2 linked regions of the Arabidopsis thaliana genome follow. The protein of the gene in region 1 interacts with the protein of each later gene in a pairwise test. Each region holds a gene or a part of one and is shown in the gene's direction. Other genes may lie near its edges.

The links.
Region 2: the proteins of HB24 (region 1) and AT1G76510 interact in a two-hybrid assay, tested with the Arabidopsis thaliana proteins (one large-scale study listed by BioGRID).

The regions. Positions count from the first base shown.
Region 1 is NC_003071.7:7,967,319-7,977,437, reverse strand, and holds HB24 (homeobox protein 24), read left to right. Parts: upstream 1-5,356; 5' UTR 5,357-5,527; coding exon 5,528-6,316; 3' UTR 6,317-6,412; downstream 6,413-10,119. Other genes in the region: AT2G18360 (alpha/beta-Hydrolases superfamily protein), read left to right, coding at 97-186, 324-391, 464-590; AT2G18340 (late embryogenesis abundant domain-containing protein / LEA domain-containing protein), read right to left, coding at 6,413-7,634, 7,890-8,038; AT2G18330 (AAA-type ATPase family protein), read right to left, coding at 8,523-9,057, 9,300-9,448, 9,564-9,897, 10,016-10,106. UniProt on the Arabidopsis thaliana protein: Putative transcription factor.
Region 2 is NC_003070.9:28,707,233-28,717,873, reverse strand, and holds AT1G76510 (ARID/BRIGHT DNA-binding domain-containing protein), read left to right. Parts: upstream 1-4,925; 5' UTR 4,926-5,140; intron 5,141-5,363; 5' UTR 5,364-5,375; coding exon 5,376-5,771; intron 5,772-5,908; coding exon 5,909-6,042; intron 6,043-6,144; coding exon 6,145-6,184; intron 6,185-6,561; coding exon 6,562-6,614; intron 6,615-6,694; coding exon 6,695-6,809; intron 6,810-7,020; coding exon 7,021-7,113; intron 7,114-7,477; coding exon 7,478-7,600; intron 7,601-7,687; coding exon 7,688-7,736; intron 7,737-7,820; coding exon 7,821-7,884; intron 7,885-8,157; coding exon 8,158-8,224; intron 8,225-8,409; coding exon 8,410-8,460; intron 8,461-8,675; coding exon 8,676-8,768; intron 8,769-8,851; coding exon 8,852-8,943; coding exon of another isoform or gene 8,944-8,947; exon of another isoform or gene 8,948-9,081; coding exon 9,082-9,193; 3' UTR 9,194-9,535; downstream 9,536-10,641. Other genes in the region: AT1G76520 (Auxin efflux carrier family protein), read right to left, coding at 585-709, 796-1,034, 1,155-1,255, 1,349-1,441, 1,515-1,664, 1,755-1,876, 1,967-2,091, 2,166-2,245 and 1 more.

The DNA.
Region 1 (10,119 bases):
ATTTTTAAACATAAAATACCCGACCCGAATATCCGAACGCCCGGGGCTAAGTTTGGACGTGCTGTCGTAATATACATTCTTTTGCAAAATGTGAAGGTGATGATTACCAATAGGAAGGAAAGAGCAGAATTGTTAGAAGCTTTGGTCATCAGCAACAAAGATGTGACAATCCCTCGTTTTCAACAGGTATGGTCATATATAAAATAATATTTCTCCATACTATAAGAATGCTATATATATTTATACAACTTAAATCTAAAATATAATTAAAATTTACTACTTAACGCATCAATTGATATTATTATTCTTTTTTGGTTTGGCAGAAAATACATCTTCTGTGGGGCGAAAGTGATCAAATTTTTAACCTTGAATTTGCCAAGAGCATGAAAGAGTAAGTTTCAATACAGTACTTTTTTCTTCTTTAATTACATAAATTTAGTCTCGTTTATATTTTGTTTTAAAGGCAACTAGGCGAAAATGCAACAATGGAGAGTATAAAAAAAGCAGGTCACTTGGCACATTTGGAGAGACCTTGTGTCTATAACAGACGTCTCAAAAAGTTTCTTGCTTCAGTTTACTCCGAAAACTAATTTGGATGTAATCGATTCTCACATCAACACCGAATGAATTTATTTATCTTATTTCTTTGGTTTCAGTTCTTCTTTCAAAATAATGTAACCTGATATATTATATTTCATAAAATAATCTATGGTTCAATTCTATGTCACTAGTATTTTGATTTTCTATGAATCAGAGAATGAGGATCTTCTAGTTATAGGGCCTAATATCTATACGGCCCAATTACAAAAGTGTCAATGGGTCCGAAGACATATTGAATCCACTAAAATGTTTTTTTTTTTTTTTTCTATCATCAAGAATTTAAGTATAAGTAAGGAAAGTTTCTCAAAAAAAAATATATTAATATTTTAATTAAGACATATATAATAATTGTTATTTAATAGTTGAACTAATAGTACGATGACAACTTTCCAAATTGGATGACAATAGATTCTCAAAGTTTCTCCTACGAGAAACTCAACTCTCATTCTCTCTTACTTTTTTTTCCTTCTCTCTTACTTTTTATTTTTTAGTTATATTTTTTTGTCAGGTATCTCATTGAGAGACTACTGGTGGAGATACTCTAAATATATCTGAATACTTGCCTTATTTTCAACTACTATAAGCATACGAAATAACCCTTTCGTTTTTTTTCTTCTCATTACTCTCACATCTTTGTTCTTCTTCTTGAGGAGAAGAACCACTGCATATTCTTCTTAAAATCTAATGAACATAAAATCAAATTTCCCTTAAATCACTTGGCTTGGCTCCACCAGATTGTCATTGAGCTTCAAGAACTCAAAGTGAGCAAGTTGGTGCGTTTCTTTTTTAGTCTCGTTTAGCTTTCATTTTTGGAGTTCTTTTACTTTTCGTTTATCTAGGTATTAGGTATATAGTTTTTGTTTAAAGTTTTTTTGTTTTTGTTTTTTTTGTTTTTGGGTTCATTTCAGCCTTTCAAGTATGCTAGTGGAAAATAAAAATTAAAATAAATACTGTAACATCAGTTATGAATAAATTATTGACAAAAACGAGAGAGTAATGATATTGTGTGACTTTCATTTCTAAACTCTCATCAATTTCTCAGTTTTAGAGACCAAACACACAATTTTTTTTAATCAAGTTTTCTTCATTCTTCTCTACACTTAATAATTTTAAGAAATGTCTTAGAAGTAAATAGATCTTTTGTTGCATTTATCTATTTTAAGGGTGAGCTTAATGTAACACAAAAATAATACTCCTAGTATTTTTAATAAGCATGATTACTTTACTGATTTACCTGCTGTCGTCCAACTACTAGTAATTAGAGTGTCATCAACCATAGTAAAAGCAATTAACACTCGCCACTCGGTCAAAGAGTGCAAGAAAAAAGGCTGGGGAACTGCCACGTGCATGCCCAGTGCATTACACGAATTTTACCATACAAACATTTTTATTTTATACTCTAAAATAAATATAATTATAGCAGATACACAATAGTATACAATTATTTTAATATTTCTCTTATCTGATTGCTCGGAAATTGATCCATAACTAGTTGTCATTGCCGACATGTTTAAGAAAAGTAAAGGTTAGAGAAATATTTTAACACAATAGCAATTTAAATTCATGTAGAAAATATTCTGTTACCAGACAGAGAATCCAGATGCATTACCCCTGGTCATGTAGATATATATTTTTAATGTATTTTTACGCCAGTTCTGTTTATCTATATAAATTATGGTGTTGGTATATAAAATAAAACATAACGAACAATTTAATCAACATTATGTTAGAATTTTTTGGAAATTTTAAAGTCATAATATAAAATTTTGTATACCATTTTTGGCATGGTTTTCTTATATACGTTAGAGCTTAATCGATCACATATAAGTTACAATCAGTTATTTATTTTTCACTATATCATAAAAATTAATTAAATAATTTTTAACCAACATAGTAACATCATGAATTTTTATTTTTGTGCATTATGTGTTTTACATCTGTAATGAGTTATAATCACAAGGATTAATCAAGGAGAAAAACTTTCAAGATGGAACTTTCCACTCATTTTGATTAGCATATGACTTTTTGCTTTTAAAGATTTTTTTTTAATAGATTCTTGTGCTTTGTATTCACTATTCAACATAGTTTCTTCTTAAATGTCATGTCATCCAAAAATAAAAGAATTAGCACTTTAATTGTTTAATCAATTTGTTATTTTAGTTCTTACTTAAATTGAAATAATATCATTAATTGTAAAAATAATATCATTAATATAACATATTATTTTATGTTTAAGTAAAAATCTAGCACTTTAATTGTTTAATCAACAAACTATTAGCTAGTTTTTTAAAATTTATAAGTCTATTTTTAGATATAAATTTCTTGTTGTAATATATTGCTATAATCTAAAAAGGAAATTGGCCTCTATATGATGAGCTATGATTAGAAAATAACATGTTATTTATTTATTTTGTATGAAACATTTTGAACAAAAAGATTTTTAATCATTTTTTGAATGACAGAAGTCATTCCTATTATTTTCTTCAAAATTTATGTTCCTCCTTACTGTATTTTTTTGGTATTTTTTTGTCTGGTCCAATGTTCCTCCTTACTATTTTTTTTTATAAAAAGAATCACTAAATTACTCGACCAAATCATAAAATGTTATTAAATGAAACATAAAAAAATATGTTATATCAATAAAAATAATAATTTCTACTAATTGTAAAATAGATTATCATTACATATATATAAATATATAATCATATTAAATAGATATCAGTAATATACTTCAAAACAATTATACTTAAGTTTCAAATGAGGCTTTGTTTCCTTTATAATCCTCCCTTTTCAATTTATTAAGATTTTGTGTCTGTTTTTTTCACATTTAAAAAATGAAAGAAGCCTAAGTTTTATTTATTTTTCATAGGATGTTATGAATTTTTTTGTATAATGATAAATGTTATATTTAAAAAAGTACAATGATAGAATGATATATACTAGTTTCTTAGATGATAGTTGTAAACTTTAGAATATTATTATTTTCCTCTCTCCTAAACTTTGATTTTTTTTTCTTCTAAAAAAGGCATTATTAGAAATTAAGAATCTCAAAATGTTAGTAATTCTTTTTCTTCACGAAGTACTAGTATTGTTTATTGTAAAAAAAATCAAGTTAGATTTCCCCGAACGTGTGGCCGCGAGGAACAGCATATGGGATGAGATATGTCGCACATGAGAAATGCATATAGTTACATGTATCTAGACTGACCATTCAATTTAAATATAATTGTTCAACTAACTAAACAAATGATAATAATCCTGTATGTCATCAACGAATCATAATCATTATCCAGCACTAAAATCCTTTTTTTGTTCTTCTATCATGGTCTACTGATCTTTTGGCTCCATTTTGGAGAAATCAACCGTAACTAAAAGTATATATATATATATATATATATATATATATATATATATATATATCTTGGTTTGAAGATTTAGTTTTAGTTTTATATGTCAAGTAGAACATCATTCGTCCACTTTCTGTTCTTTTTTTTTGTTTTGATTTTATATTTATTCTTCTAAACCATAATTCTCATCCATTAGATACTTATTTTGAATATCTTAACAATAAATATTGTTATTTTAATGTAACTTACACTAAAATGAAAAATTTAATATTAAATATAAATTGACAAGTGGAAGAAAAGCCTATTAAGAATTTTTTTCATAAGTTTTTATATATTAAAAGTCCGGTAAAAGCTCTCCAGTTTTTCCCAAAAAAATAAAATGAAATAAAGCTCTCCAATGAGAATTGTGTAAGGATTGCATTATGAAACACAAATCCGGTCAAAACACTGTCGATTACTCCATTTTTTTTATTTATTGTATGTTTTCATAACTTTAAACATTAAGGGTGTGTACGGAAAAAAACATTAAGAATGTGATTGGTTACTCTAATTAGCGCAAAATAAAAGAGTTGAGAAAAAATTCTGCCCAAATCATCTTATTTTGGTTGTCTGAATTTTAAAAATCAGATCAAAGTAGATAAGAGACCATACCATATATTACAAATATTTCGACCAATTCGATTTTCGCTTATTTTACAAACAATATTTTGGTTATCTTATTTATTTTACAAAGTAAATGTTCATAAGGTATTCAATCTTTCATTTTATTTTACAAACAATATTTAATGCATGCACCATAATATGTTGCACTGATCGTACTAAACCTACTTACATCGCTAATTTTACGCTAAGCCACAGACACTAATCTCATCAACTATACTAATTGTTGACATTCGACTTAATTAACACAAGATAATTTTATCATTACTCAACATTAAAAACCAATAAAAGAAAGATGTATTGCGACCAATGTGCGGACACTGTATGATAGAGAAACAACGTGGCACTGTCTGCTACAAGTCCACATCTTACTTTCTCTCTCCATCTCTTGTTTCTTAGTGGACTGTGTTATTATTATTATTGGCACAGACCAAACCCACTTGGCTCCTTCATTAGATTTTTTTTCTCTCTCGGAAATTGATGGGCAATAGGAAACACGATTCTCTAATTCTCTCTCTAGAAGGACCAATAGTGTCTTCTTCTCTCCTCTTTTCTCTTTCTCCATTAGTAACGACCTAAACTTTATTTTCTTTTCTTGATCTCTTCTTAAATGGGGTTAGATAAGTTTTCCCCTTTAATTTAGTTGCTTGTAGACTTGAGATTAGTCTAGTAGGTTTTGGTGGGCTATCACTAATACAAAAGTCAAAGTCAAAATTTTTAAAAAGGTTTCAACTTTGGAAGAGATATTTATCATCTTCATTTTCTCTATAGGTTTATGAGAAGCTAAAGCTATGATGATTTCTTTAATCAAAATAGCTTAGGGTTTTGGAGAGAGATTACTAAGAAAGTTTTAATGTTTGTTTAAGAGAAAAGTTATATATTAGGGTTTTCTTTATTCAGAAGCTTCAAGATCAGAAAAGATGGAAGTTAGAGAGAAGAAAGATGAGAAAATGGAGATGACAAGAAGAAAATCATCAGCTCTAGATCATCATCGTCTTCCTCCGTACACTTACTCCCAAACCGCCAACAAAGAGAAACCCACCACCAAAAGAAACGGGTCGGACCCGGATCCGGATCCGGATCTTGATACTAACCCAATTTCTATATCTCATGCTCCAAGATCATACGCTAGGCCTCAAACTACTTCTCCGGGGAAGGCAAGGTATAGAGAATGCCAAAAGAATCACGCGGCGAGCTCCGGTGGACACGTTGTCGACGGTTGCGGCGAGTTTATGTCTTCCGGGGAAGAAGGCACGGTGGAGTCTCTTCTTTGTGCAGCTTGTGATTGCCACCGGAGCTTCCATAGAAAAGAGATCGATGGTTTGTTTGTTGTCAATTTCAATAGCTTTGGCCATTCACAGAGACCACTCGGAAGCCGCCACGTGTCTCCGATAATGATGAGTTTTGGTGGTGGTGGTGGTTGTGCGGCGGAGTCATCGACGGAGGATCTAAACAAGTTTCATCAATCTTTTAGTGGTTATGGAGTGGATCAGTTTCATCATTATCAACCCAAGAAACGGTTTAGGACAAAGTTTAATGAAGAACAGAAGGAGAAGATGATGGAGTTTGCTGAGAAGATTGGTTGGAGAATGACAAAACTAGAAGATGATGAAGTGAATCGGTTTTGTCGTGAGATTAAAGTTAAAAGACAAGTGTTTAAAGTTTGGATGCACAACAATAAACAAGCAGCAAAGAAGAAGGATTTGTAAGAGATTTCTATATATATATATATACTATTTTTACTTCTCTTTGTTCAACATTGCTTTAACTTAAAGACTTTGTGTTTATTGTATAACAAATTGATTTTAGAGCTCAGCATAACGGTCTCTTATTTCTCCCGCAACTTGAGAAGCCTTTTTCTTTGCGGTTTCATAAGCATATTTTGTGGATTCTTTGGCTACACCGTACTTTTCGCCGACTTTTTCCATGGCTTCTTCAAATCCTCTAGTTGCTCCATCTTTGGCATTGTGTGATTTGTCTTTCATGTAGTCAATAGAATCATCCATTGCTTCTCCTGCCGTGTCTTTGGCACTCTTTGACTTTTCTTTGGCTCCTTCATAGGCTTCACCGCTCTTATCCGTTGCCATCCTAATCACATCACCGGCCTTGTCGTATCCGTAACCCGCCTTGTCATATGCAAAGTCTTTTGCATCTTGGGCCTTTTCGTAAGCTATGTCTTTTGCATTGCCAGCCTTCTTGTAGGCGTAGTCTTTGGCCTCACCAGCTTTCTCATAACCAGAATCCTTTGCCTTCTGCGCACTGCCATAAGCAGATCCCACCTTATCATAGGCCATGTCCTTGGCATTGCCCGCCTTATCATAGGCCATATCCTTGGCAATGCCAGCCTTCTCATAAGCCACGTCCTTTGCATCCCCCGCTTTATCATATGCCATGTCTTTTACTATGCCTGCCTTCTCATAGGCCATGTCCTTGGCATCACCGGCCTTATCATAACCAGAGTCCATCATACTCTGTGCACTTCCGTAAGCAGATCCCACTTTATCATATGTGAAATCCTTTATGTGTTCCGCCTTCTCGTAGGCCATGTCCTTCGCATTTCCCGCCTTCTCATATGCCATATCCTTTGCATTGCCTGCCTTATCATAGGCAACATCCTTCGCGTAGCCTCCCTTATCATAGGCGAAATCCTTTGCATATCCCGCTGTCTCGTAGGCCATGTCCTTAGCATTGCCTGCCTTATCATAGGCGAAATCTTTGGCATGGCCCGCTTTCTCATAAGCCATGTCCTTTGCATCACCAGCCTTGTCATATGCAAAATCCTTAGCATAGCCCGCATTTTCGTATGCCATGTTCTTTGCATCACCAGCCTTGTCATAAGCGAAATCCTTTGCGTACTCTGCCTTGTTCTCAGCAAAATCCTTGGCGTAACCTGCATTGTCGTAAGCAGAGTCCTTGACGTAATTTGCCTTGTCATAAGCATAGTTTTCCGCGGCTTGAGCCGCTTTTCTTGCTTCATCTTTAGATTTTTGATAAATTCCTGTTTCTTCTTTCTTAGTACCAAATCCACTGGGAAAAGAAGTAAAACGTTACCTCTCAATCACTCACTTAACTACGGCCAAATACATGCGTAAATATCCAATGTAGTGAACGAATCTAAAGATTCCAATAAAAAACGCAATAAGACATTACTAATCTCACTAAACACGTACTTAACATCCAAATGAGAGAAAGTATAGACTGAATTGGATCAACGTGATGGTTACGTAAAGGACAGATTCAACCACAGGTGTGTTTCAGTTTCGGATATTAGATATCACTTACGTGGTGATTTTGTCGGAGACCCAACCAGCCCATGAACCGGTCTTTTCCTTCGCCGTCGACTCTAACCATTTCCCCAATACACCCTCTTGCCACGTCAACACCACCACTACCACAAACAATACCAATGCCGTTCTTCTTCTCTCCATCATCTCTTTAACCAGTGATTCCGAATCAAACTTCTTTGAATTTGCTATGACCAATTTAGTTTTGTCCCTTTTTAAAAAGTTTTGATCCTAGTTCCAATGTCCTCGGAAGTTATAGTTATAGAGAGACGTTCGAATCCAAAGACCAGAGGTCTTTCCGAGAAGCGGTTACTGTTCGCCACGTGTTTGCACGAGGTTACGTGGCAACCAAGGATGCGGTTTGGTTGTGGAGCTTTCTCTGAGTATTCACCACGTGTCCTATTATACGGCTGGCCGTGTTCCCCTCAGAGACCACACTTTGAAACTTGAAAGCAATAAGATTAGAGAGGTCACATCACATGTGTCTGAAGCGGTTTGTATAACCGGGAAACCTACGATAAAAATTGGACCAAATTCCAGCTAACCGAAATTGAACCGGTTACTCAAACAATGTTACTATTTCAGTTTAATAGAATCGAAACAACGGAGTGATTCGGTGATACAAAAAGATCTACGGAAACGATTGGCCACCTTCAGTCGCAAGTCTGATTCTCTGGTGATGTTCTTCGATCTTATAATCCACAATTTCTTCAAAAAGTTGGGAATCCAAGACACAATCCTGTCGTCCATATACCGCAGCTTGAACACCGGCGACAAGCTTAGCGATTTCACGACCAGAAAAGCCTTCTGTCTTTTTTGCAGCTTCTTTAATCACTTGGTCGGTTAGGTCTCCTTCAATGGTTATCTTCTGTGACTTCTTCTTCTTGAACAAGTTGCTCCATTTAAGGTTTGAGTCTTTCTCACCTTTCTTGTCGTCACCCATTAGGTACTTGTTGAGATAGAGCTTGAGGAGCTTGAAGCGTTCTTCTTCACCAGGGAGAGGAAACTCGATAACTTCGTCGATCCTGTCAGTGACTGCACTGTCGAGATCTCCAGGTCTGTTTGTAGCCAGGACAAGGACTATGTCCCGCGATTGATCACCGGTTCGAAAGAGCAACGCGTTCAGAGCGCTGCGCTGAGCCTCACTCATGTAAGTGCTGTTACGTCTGTGATAAAAGATCAAGAATTTGATAACTATTAAGACAAGAGAACTCTGGAGATACAGTAGAAGTAACAATGCGCAAGAACAATCCACTGATCCTACTGCGACTATACTACATTGTGGAATTGTGTTTGCAATCAGAATACAAGAAATTTTTGTTCAACTATATTCTATATTTTAGAGGTCTAGTAGATGAGAATCAGTAATATAACTGAAGGCTTGAGGTAAAAGGTGAAAGCATCTTACTCGCATAGGAAAGCATCAGCTTCATCGATGAAAAGCAGTAACCCTTTGTTTGATTTCTTAGCCCAATCAAATATTTCATGGATCTTTGTAACAGCCTGTGCACCAAGAGGAGCAACATCTCCTCCTGTCATCATAGCATAATCAAGACCCTGCAGAACGAAATAATCAAACAGATGTAAATAAGTGAGGCATGTAATGGTTCAATCTATTGTAGATTCCTGAACTTGGCTCAGGTTCTCTGTTGCATAAAGAAAACAAACTCACCGACTTCCGAGCAATCTCCCTCGCCACCATAGTTTTTCCGGTACCTGGAGGCCCATAAAACATCATGTTTCGGAATGGTGCTTTATGTGACTTGGTATTTGCTGTGGCTCTTGCAAGACGCTCAATTCTCGTCTTCAAAGAACGATGGAGAATTACATTTTCAAGAGGCTTTTCTCCTTCTGCAGATGCTGCTGCCCCTGCAGCTGTGCTAAGTTTGTTCTTAAACTGAGACACTGAGCCTGCCCATGGGAATCGGCCCATGGAAGATTCTCTGATCAGTGATGGCTGCCCAAGAATTCTATTGATATAACCCCAGGTAACCCTAGCACCTTCTCTGTTGTCAAGAAAAGAACGATTAGGCTTCTTAAATCACAGCTGTATAAGTTTTAAAAATGCGATAATAATCAATTTACTTATGTTAGGCTTCTTAAATCATGTTAAGCAATGCATACCGAGTTGTGTAAACCCCAGCGGCTAATGCCGTAACTCCTCCAACAGTCATAATCAATTTACTTCGATCAGTTAATAAGGTCCTTACTCCTCCTGCCAAGATCAT
Region 2 (10,641 bases), on another chromosome or scaffold:
GGTTATACATCAAAATCTCAAATATGACGTGATGAGACATTAATTGATCTTAGAGTACGATTAGGTTTGAGATACATGGACACAGATGTAAAGAAATTTATCACAAAATCCACCAATTAGAGCTTTTTGTCACCACTCTTTTCTCTCATCATTTGTACTCACTTGACTGATATGTAATAGTCTATTAAACCAAATGTAACAATCTGAAATTTTTCTCAGGTGTACCAAACTAAACAAAGGAATAGCTTTCTGCCATGGCCACAGTCACAAGTAGTCAAGTAGATTGTTCTCTGGTTTTACCCTGTTTCAAGAGAGAATGATTTGGGTATCATAACAGAGATTTTAAGCCTCACAATCTCTTGATGGATCCCAAGACAATGAGGATCAAAATAGCAGATTCTTGATGAGGCTGGACTTGATCTTCTATCTGTAAGTTACAGACTGTAAGTCCAAAGTTCGTATCAAAAGACTTATAAGTATATGTTCTCTATTATACTTGATCCAATCATCTGGAAGTCCAAGAACAATTCTTGAATCAATGGAACAAAACAATACATGTAACATGATGAGTATGGGGGTCTATTCTAAGCTACAAGCCACATGAAGAATGTTGGCCAAACAGTGAGTGCAATCGAAGCCAAAGAGTAAGTCCAGAGCATAATCACTGAGCATTCACTCTCCCCAGTTCCAAATAACTGAGTAATTGTACCTGCAAGAGTAAGTGAAACTAATGAAGTGATCTTATCTGAAAGAAGTAACTGTATTTTTTAAAGAGTTGGTTTCAGAGCAATGAACCTAGATTCATGGCTGGTGGGACAGCATATTGAAGAAGAAGAACGAATTGGTATAAGGGCTCTGATGTAACTAAATCCAACTTATATGCTCCTCTTACGATTAAAACACCGCTCATAGGCAGTAAAACGTAACGCGCAACCAAGACGCCGATAATACTGGACATTTTCATTCCTGAACTCCTCAAACCTTTGAGTAGGTTTCCTCCTATAATCATGGTCATTGCAGGAACTGCCCCATCTCTTCAGCCAAAAGAAACAAGACACATAAGAAGCTTTCGAATGAGTGAGTTACGTTTTTCCAAGAGATGATTCATTGTTGAGCTAATGCTAAGATAATGGTCTAATTTTAGCTGCAGTTACCCCACTAGAGTTACTGAGTCTTGAAGCACCCGGAGAGGAGCTTCCGTGCCGATTATTAGCTTCCTTAAAGGAGTAATGAGCCCGATCACAAGTGCAATCATCTGGAAACAGAAGAACAAAAAGGGTAATTAGAAAGATTACACTAGTGTGAGTGACGTCTCAAATGTATAAAACAGAGCCATTGAAACACAAACCGCAGCAATAGTTGATGGAGCAAAAATTGTCTTAAGGTTGACTTTTTGTGACAGTGAAACCAATCTCCGCTTGACTTTTTCCCACCTCCCAGCCTGTCATATACACACAGTCACTACCAACTTTGATAAATGAATAGTTACTGATCATGTGCATATGTGATGAAACCTTTTGGTTGTTTTCTTCTTCCTTGGAAGAAATAAGGGGAACTTTGTAGCTGTCGTAGTTGGATTCAACAGAGGGAGGGGTTTCAACGGGAGAGTTCGATAGCACACGCATAAGATTGTATACATAAGTCCATATGTAAATAGATCCCATCTGATACGTTACCAAGTACTGTCATGAGACATACTGATTACAAAACCTTGAAGAAGAAGAAGACAAAGAAGAAGAAGAAGAAGAACTTACAGCCATGGAGAGAGCAACATAACCCATTCCATATTTCTGGCAACTCTCAGGATCTCCAAAGGGACCTCCTTTTTCTTTACAAACAGCTGGGATTATAATCAGTGGCATATTCCCCAAATTCCCTGTTTTGTTTCATTCATTACCACAGTCATAAGCAAAACACAAGTTAAACAGATTCTGAAATCAGAAACATTCATGTTAAGGTTTGTTACCAGCAGCACAACAACCAAGAATGAGACCACGAAGGTGTGAAGGAGGCTTAGTGATGACAATAACAATCCAGCCAAGTAATGAACCAATGATGAATGTAAGCAGAACATTCACCGGCATGAACCACCTGCAAATCCTCATTTTCATTAACCAAAGAGCAAAGATTACAGACTCAAGATGCAAAATCTGAGATTGACTTACATTTTGACCAAGCTTTCGTATGTAACACTATCAGCTAAACGGCTTCCAATAAGCGAAGGACTAAACACATAGAAGACAATCTATATACACACACATCAAGAAAATGATAACAAAACAGAGACATATTAAAGTTGAATCATTTAGATTTATTAAAGAAAAGAGTAAAATTAAGTGATAATTAACTGACGTTGTTCAGATATTTACGAGCATCATGACCAAGAAGATTGACTCCATCGAGAGCCATATAAAATCCGACTGATGTTATCAACAGAATCTCAACGACTGGTTTTGATGAAGTTATGAACAGCTCCAAAAGCTTCACCATCTTTTTACTATCAACGCGAGAATCTGCAAGTATAAGTTAACTGTAGCAGAGGAAACAGAGAATCAATGGAGCTGCAAGAACCGCCGAAGAAAACAGAGCAATCCAAGAAGGGAATGAATTTTTTAACCGATTTAGAGGAAGAGAGAGATTTATCGTCAGTGGTACAGCTAGATGACAGTGAGAAGCCGCCGTATCAGAACTTTCTCACTCTCTCTCTATGAAAGAGAAAGAGCGTCTCCAAAATTTGGCCTAGTACAACACTTGCATGGTCGCCTCTTCATTCTATTTAAATTCTTGTCTATCCACAAAATGCTTTTTTCAAGAAACTAATCTCTTTATTTGGGGCAAACTTAGAAACTAATCTTTTTAACTAAGGTAAATTATTATTCTATGCATATGGGAAGAGAATTTCATATTTTCATCCTACATATTTTGTATGTACAACTTGGTGTCCGCATGATCCGGGTCAGACTTTTACATCTTCTTTGTTTTTGGAATTGTTTTGTTCCGTATAAGCAACAAAATAACGTATCATAGATTCATAGTTAGCTCCTTTTTGAATTCCAACTTTCACAACTTATGAGTTATGATATATCTCGTAAGTTTATGTCCTTTGATTTTGTATATTTTCCAATTTTTTGTAACCTAGTTTATGTACAAAAAGAAAGAGGAAACAGTTCCACAATTTTTGGAAAACTCAACTCAAGCGGGGTCTTTGTTTGTTTCGTATATTGTCGTATAACACTATTGAGAATAATAAGGCTTTATCTGAGAAGACGAATTTATATGGTAACCGTCGTCATGCCTTTCGTCACATCGACTACGAAACGTGCCCCATGTTTTTTTCTGGTTCTTGCCCAAGGTGTGGAGATATTGCAAAGTGTTCATCGATTGTTGAAGATTTATTATTTATTTTATTTTATATATTTTTTTAAAAAAAACATTTTTCTTTTTGTCATCTATTTTTAAGGGGAATTGTTATAAAAATGTACATTTTCATATGCGTCGTAAGAAATTTGAAATGGAAACAAAACTGAATGAGAATAAGATAATAGTGTGGTGGCTTAAATTAATTGTGTGATGGAAGCGTACCAACGAAACGATCGAATATTAATGATAACGGAAAATTCAAATTAGTGTGTGAGGCTGCGACCAGTGTCCGTCCATAAAATTCAATGCAAGATATAAATGTAACAACCCCAATATCAAAATAGTCGACTAATTCTTACCAAAAAAAAACAATTAGCGAATAATTAGAATTATCATACAGTGCTAAAAATATGTATATATATATATACGAGATACAAATATTTAAGTATATATTGTCAAAGTGCAAATTTTAGTGATTTATTAATGAAAAATACACAATAGACTGGATAATTGTAGAAGTGGGATATATTATACACACTACAATAAAAATCTCTTATGTGACTCGAATCCTATAACTCTTCTCATGTGAAGCAAGAGATATTAGACCATCCTTAATTCCTTATATGTAAGCTTATTGTATATGCAACAAGCCTAATGAAGGCCATGTCATGAGCTATCTTCTTATTTATCTATCTTATTAGAGCATGAATAAACTTGTTTGTATAGGATTTCTACTCACACAAGAGACTTGTGAATATGTATTTTTAAAGAGGTTAATTAACAGTATTTGATATTTCTATGATCTCATAGCTATGAATATGATGATTCAAAGAACGTGAACAAAAGATATCTGTAACAAAAAGAAAAGGACAAAGATATGTCAAATTGAAATGCTCCACTCGTTTTAATGTCCGTGAATGAAAATAACAAACTTGACATATATTGAAAATCTTGATTTGTACTATTGGAAATGTGGGGCATCAAAGACTATTATTCCCTAAAAATAATGGTCCTTAATTCATTAGAATTTTGGACAAAAAGCTTTGCTTAATTCTGTACCATTTTGCTTCGAATGAATATGCTCATACTATTTGTTATCCTTTGGATCCACACCAATTCATTAAATTGCAATTATTTGTCACTTTGACAAGTACTATACCTACATACTGAGAAAATCATCATCACCATAATTGTAAAGTTAATCACGTTAATTATATGCTAGCTAGTCTATAATTAAAGATTCAAACACTATATTTTTTTGGTACAACAAAAACTCTATATTGAACATGAACGCACAATGCTTCGATATTTCTTTCTCTATCTTTAGTAACAAATAAAAACACAACAACAATCGAGACAAGCAGAAACCTACGTTGTCTTCCGTGTTTAATTGGGCCTAAGATTATATTCATAATATACCTTACATATTGAGCCCATAGTTTACAATAATGGGCTTTGTTATGTAAATGGGTCGTAAAAGTCCAACTTTCTGAAATATCATTAATAAGTTTTGCTATTAAGATCTTCGTTAAGAGTTAATACAAGTAACAAGCATTAATTTCTTTCTTAATGAATTCATGTGTTCATTATATCATCCGTATAAATCTTTTGATCTGCATATCTCTCCGTTTAATTGATATCTTTCCGTTTCTCGCTTCTTTTTCTCCGCCGGCGTCCTTCCATTTCGCCGGCTGCTATCGAACCCTAACCCGCGACGACTCCACCGTCTCCGGCGTCTTCTTCTTCCGGCGAAACCGGTAACCGTATCTTTTGTTTCTATGTATGTACTCCATGATTTCGTGAAGCTCTGCTTTCTAATGCTTTAGTCGCCATCACTGTTTGAATTATAGCGAATCAGTGAGAGAGTAGGACTCAGAGTTTTGATGCGTTCCAATTCTCGATTACATGCGTCTTGCATTCTCTCTGGAATTATCAATAGTGCGTTTCTATTTATGATTTCTGGATTTTGAATTCTGCGTTGTTGTTGTGATGCTATGTCTCAGAGAATTAGCTTCATGATGGCGGATACTGAAATGCAAGAGCAAGATGTGCCGTCTGGTACCAAAGGTGTTGTAGAGGAGCCTTCAGAACTAGAGAAAGACCTAAACTCTATTGAAAGACCTAAGTCCCCTGTTCCAGAGGATACGACTCATACTTTGGATAGTGATGTTCATTTATCTGATGCTCCCATTGCTAATCAAATTGAGGCTAATGAAGAGGTTGGTGGTCAGAACAGTGTTGATGGGAGGAATGGTGATGTTGATCAGTCTGAAAAGAAGATTACTAGTGATGGCGGTCAAGAGGAGACAACACTTGGGGAATCAAATCCTTTGAAGGGGGATCCGTCGAGTCCTCATGTTCCTGAAGAAAGTGTTAAGAAGTGGAAGACATGGTTGTTGAGTGATGCTGAGGTGATGAGAGCACTTTTCTGTCACATTTCAGACAACTAGTCTGCCTGCATTTGCGTTAAGCGTTGAATATTGTTTTTTGTGAGATCTGTGGTCATCACAGTGGCTCTATTTCATCACGAGTTCACGTTTTTATACAGGCCAGGGAAGTTGATGAAGCAGGGGCACCACAGGATCAAGAGGCGTTTATTAAAGAAGTGGAGGCCTTCAACAAGGAGAATTTCCTGGAATTTAAAGCCCCAAAGTTTTACGGACAGCCCTTAAATTGTCTCAAGTGAGTTGTTGGAAGTGTTGCTTTAATTCTTGGAAAATTCCATACTTTTGGTTATGCCTTGTTTGACGTGATAACGTCTGCATGCTTTACTTTGAAATGTAGGCTTTGGAGAGCCGTTATCAAGTTAGGTGGCTACGATGTGGTAATGATCTACTTTCGAACTTCCAATGATTTTATGTTTACTAAGATCTTCTCCTCCCTCTTCCCCTTTAGGAGGTTAAAAATCTTTTAGATTATTATCTACAGGTCATGCGATTTATACGTTTTGGGTTGTATAACGTGTGAACTATAGCTAATGAATGAGAAGATGATTTAAGAACAAGGAATGGCTTCCGGAAATAATTAAGTCAATGCAGTTATGTGTTAATTATGTTAGGTCTGTGTTTTGGCAACTGAACTTGCTTAGTGTCATCTACTCTGTTTGAAAGTTTATACTCAAATCTATCCCACCGCCCACGTTGCTTGAAACTCTATGTCTGTGGTATTCAAAATTCCTATGATTTTCATTTTCTTATATAGGTCACCACATCTAAGCTATGGCGGCAAGTTGGAGAATCGTTCCATCCTCCAAAGTATGGCTTGTATTGTCCTCAATCTTCAACCTTTTCCGCTTTCTTGTATGAAATTGACTTTCCACATTTTTGTTATTCAGAACATGCACTACAGTCTCCTGGACATTCCGCATTTTCTATGAAAAGGTGAATTTCATTTTTGGTCTAAGTACTGAATATGCATTGATATTAATGAGGTTGTACTTGTTCAGTTTAGTTCATACATGTTCGATTCAGACAATGTTCTTTTGCTCCTTTTGTCAGTAGTGTGTCTGAGACTAGCTGGTTTCGTTATCATTTATGTCGTGGTTTAGTAGCCTTCTAACAGTTTATTTGGATTGACTCCTTCCTAACATGGAGTCTGGTTGATTTCTATCCTATCAAGATGTGGAAATTTCATTATTTGTATCCTTATTTCCAACCGCAGGCACTTTTGGAGTATGAGAAGCATTTAAGGCAAAATGGTGAGCTTAACCTTCCTGGTTCAGCTTCTCTTCCGTCTTCAGGCATTGAAAAGGAGGTTAGAATTCCTATGAAATTGTGTAATTCTTATGCTTTTGGGTAGGTGAACACTTTGAGAGGAGGTCAATTTAAGAGTAGGTAAACCATGTTGTTAAATTAGATAAAGTGAAAGCTCTGCAGTTCTTTATAAAATCATTTTATACAGATGGAAATTTCGGGCATGAGTAATATCAGCTTAACATGTTGAATACTACTCTCTGCAATCTGATTGAATAAAGCTGTACCGTTTTGTGTTATATGGGAAACATAAGAAATAATATGTACACAACACAGCTAATTACCAATTTAAGCTCCCTAAAACAGAATTTTAAACTTTATATGCCTTCCCTTTTTCTCTCATTGATATAAGGGCACTTATGTAGGCAAGTAGCCATCAAGCTTCAGGGTCAGGCAGAACAAGAAGAGATGCTGCAGCTCGTGCTATGCAAGGTTGGCATTCTCAGCGCCTTCTTGGATCTGGGGAGGTTACTGAGCCTATTGTTAAGGTTTCTATTTAGACCTTACCACGTTTCATAATTCACCATGCACAAACTTACGCTTCAACATGATTCTGTTTGTACATATATTTTCAGGAGAAAGGCTTGAATTCAACCCCAAAGCAAAAGAACCTCAAAAACATTGGTAATATTCCTAAGCGATGGCTATTGTTCTCCACTACCTACAGAATGATTACCTAATGCCACCGTGTATAAATGTTCTTTTCAGGTGTGCAGAAACAAAAAACAACAACCGGCATGGACCTTGTTTTTTCACACGAATCAGAAAAACAGTTACGAAAGATAATCATCTCCTGTATTTTTGTGTTGCTTATGCAAGATTGCTTTACCATGTGCAATTCCATACAATCTTATCCATCGAAAAACCCTGCATTGTCAATGTTTGGTAGATCACAAGCACTGTTTTCTGGGTGGTAGTTGTAAGAACTGCCATTTCAGAAATAGCGCAGGAGATTAAATGAATACAGAGAATTTTGTAACTTGTCTTTTCATTTCGTTTATTATAATCAGAGCAAAAGATTGATAATATGGTTTTGGCTTGATAGGTCAACTGCCGAGGTTATAGATGTTGGACCCCCTGCAGACTGGGTGAAGATCAATGTCAGAGAAACTGTGAGTACCACTTCCGCTTCCCCCCTCATATAATGCAACGCTTACCCAACTCTTGAAACTAGAGACATGAGAAAGAAAAAAAGTCAAAAACAACACTGCCTGAAGAAAGGGAAATAACTGCAATCTGGGTTTTTGTTTTGAATCTGAAATCTTACCAAATTTATTTTTGTTGTCTTTATTTACAGAAAGACTGCTTTGAGATATTTGCCCTGGTACCTGGACTTCTTCGCGAAGAGGTGAGCTTTTCTCCTTGGAATTCAATCTCTAAAGCTTCTTTGATCAGTGTTTTGTCACTGGAGTGTTACTGATTCCTACGACATAGATGTGAACATATACTGGATTCGAATCTAAATACACACACTGTTGTCCGTTGTAATGAATTTCATAGTAATTTTTTGTGTGATTGCACACAGAATCTAGTTCCTCAATATAAGTTGATTTCTTCTTTCAGGTCCGTGTTCAGTCAGACCCTGCAGGGCGGCTAGTTATAGCAGGCCAACCTGAGCAACTTGACAATCCTTGGGGAATCACACCCTTCAAAAAGGTTAGATTCTAACACTCCAAACAGAGCCCTAGTTGCTAATTGAAGGATAGTTGTCAATTGTTTTCCGATTTTGGTTATGGTAGGTTGTGAACTTTCCCGCAAGAATCGATCCGCTGCACACGTCAGCGGTTGTGAGCCTGCATGGTCGACTGTTTGTGCGAGTCCCATTTGAGCAGTGACCGGTCTCATCCCAAGTGAGCTAGTTCTTTATTTGTCTCTTTGTTTTCTTTTAGGAATTCGTTTGTATCAGAACTAAAAACAAACGATAGCAAATGTGATAGTTTGACTGTGACTTGAGTTCTGAATATTAAAGTAGAGAAATGAATATTGATGTTCCATATAAAGTTAGTAAGGAAGCTGTTCCTTATACCTTCAAGTATGCAACCAACAATCACAGTGTCTGGTATATATCTTTTAGAAAATGAAGTTTTCATCTGTTTTCTCTGTTTATTTCAGTTTCAGGTTTCACATAAAGAAAACTTACAATTTATAGTTCAATCAAGTTAAATGGCTCCTATTGTAGGAGAGTACTGAAGTTTTATGGGCTGGAAGCTTTTGGGTTGAGTTAAATGGCCTGAAAATTAGGCCTTAGATGTGTCGTGTTGCTTTCGTGATCCACAATTGCATTCATATATATATATATATATATGATGAGGAAAGTCAAGAAAATTTTTTTTGAAGAAAAAAACTAAACATATTATTGCAACTTCCAATTTGCATTAGACCCAATATTATATATTTACATCTAACACGTTTTGTGATTTTTAGATATTCATGCTTATCTATTTTCTGTTGACATCAGACAAAAATTAGCAAAACATTCTATTGTAATAGTTAATAATATGTGACTATACTACTATAGTATACAATTTTTGTTTAAGTTCTCTCTTTTTACAACCGTGAGATTCTTGGTCGAATTCATACCAATCTTCAGAATTTATGAAAAAGTATGATATTATTTTCATGTAAAACAATTACAATAACAAATCATACTTAAAAATGTTGTAGTTCGAACCATGATCCTTTAAGTAACATATGTTCTTCAAGCTCTATGGCCCACACAATAGTGTAGACCTTCTTCTTTTTTGGGTGTAAAATAGTTAGTAGTCTAGATAGTGTAGAACATATGTTACTTAAAGGATCTATATATCTATCCAATCATAATTCGTATATATAGGGAAACCTTCACATTTACGTTTACTTATCAGCCGTTCGTATAAAACACACAATGAACAAGATTTCTTAACCCAATCGTTGCTCAACTGCATGTAAGGCACTTGACATGAGCACATGGATATCTTAAAAAGATAAAGTCACAGTGCATGTATCGAAAAGGTCTCAAAGTACATTACCCTTTATTCTCTTTACATGGTTGAAGCCCTAAAATGTCAAATATATGAAAATTATGAAAATAAGAGGTTTTTAAACCATCTCTCATTCTCATTGTATAACAGTAAACATGATGAGACTCCATTTCTTATATACATAAATGTCACCTGTCTTCTCTTAGAAGCTCATTGAAGATATTTCACCACAAATCTCCTTTGGACATGCATTGGTCATGTACAAGCTTTTCCTTTCACTTGATTTTCTTTTTAAATATACGTTTTCATACGGTCCATACATAGTTTCCCTAGGGACTTGATGCATTCCTCATTTTCACACATCTTTGTACTTAAAGCCCCACTTGGCTGTGTTGTTATAGACTTTCCTAATCCTCTAAAAGGAAACTGATAAATGAAACTCTGGGACAAATTTTTCATATTTTGGTTTTGGCAGGTCATGTAATGTTCTCGTGTTTAAGCCATTAACTTGTAACCGTCGAAAAATCATGTTTATATCGTTGTAACGGGTGGGCGAATCTTTTCTTATA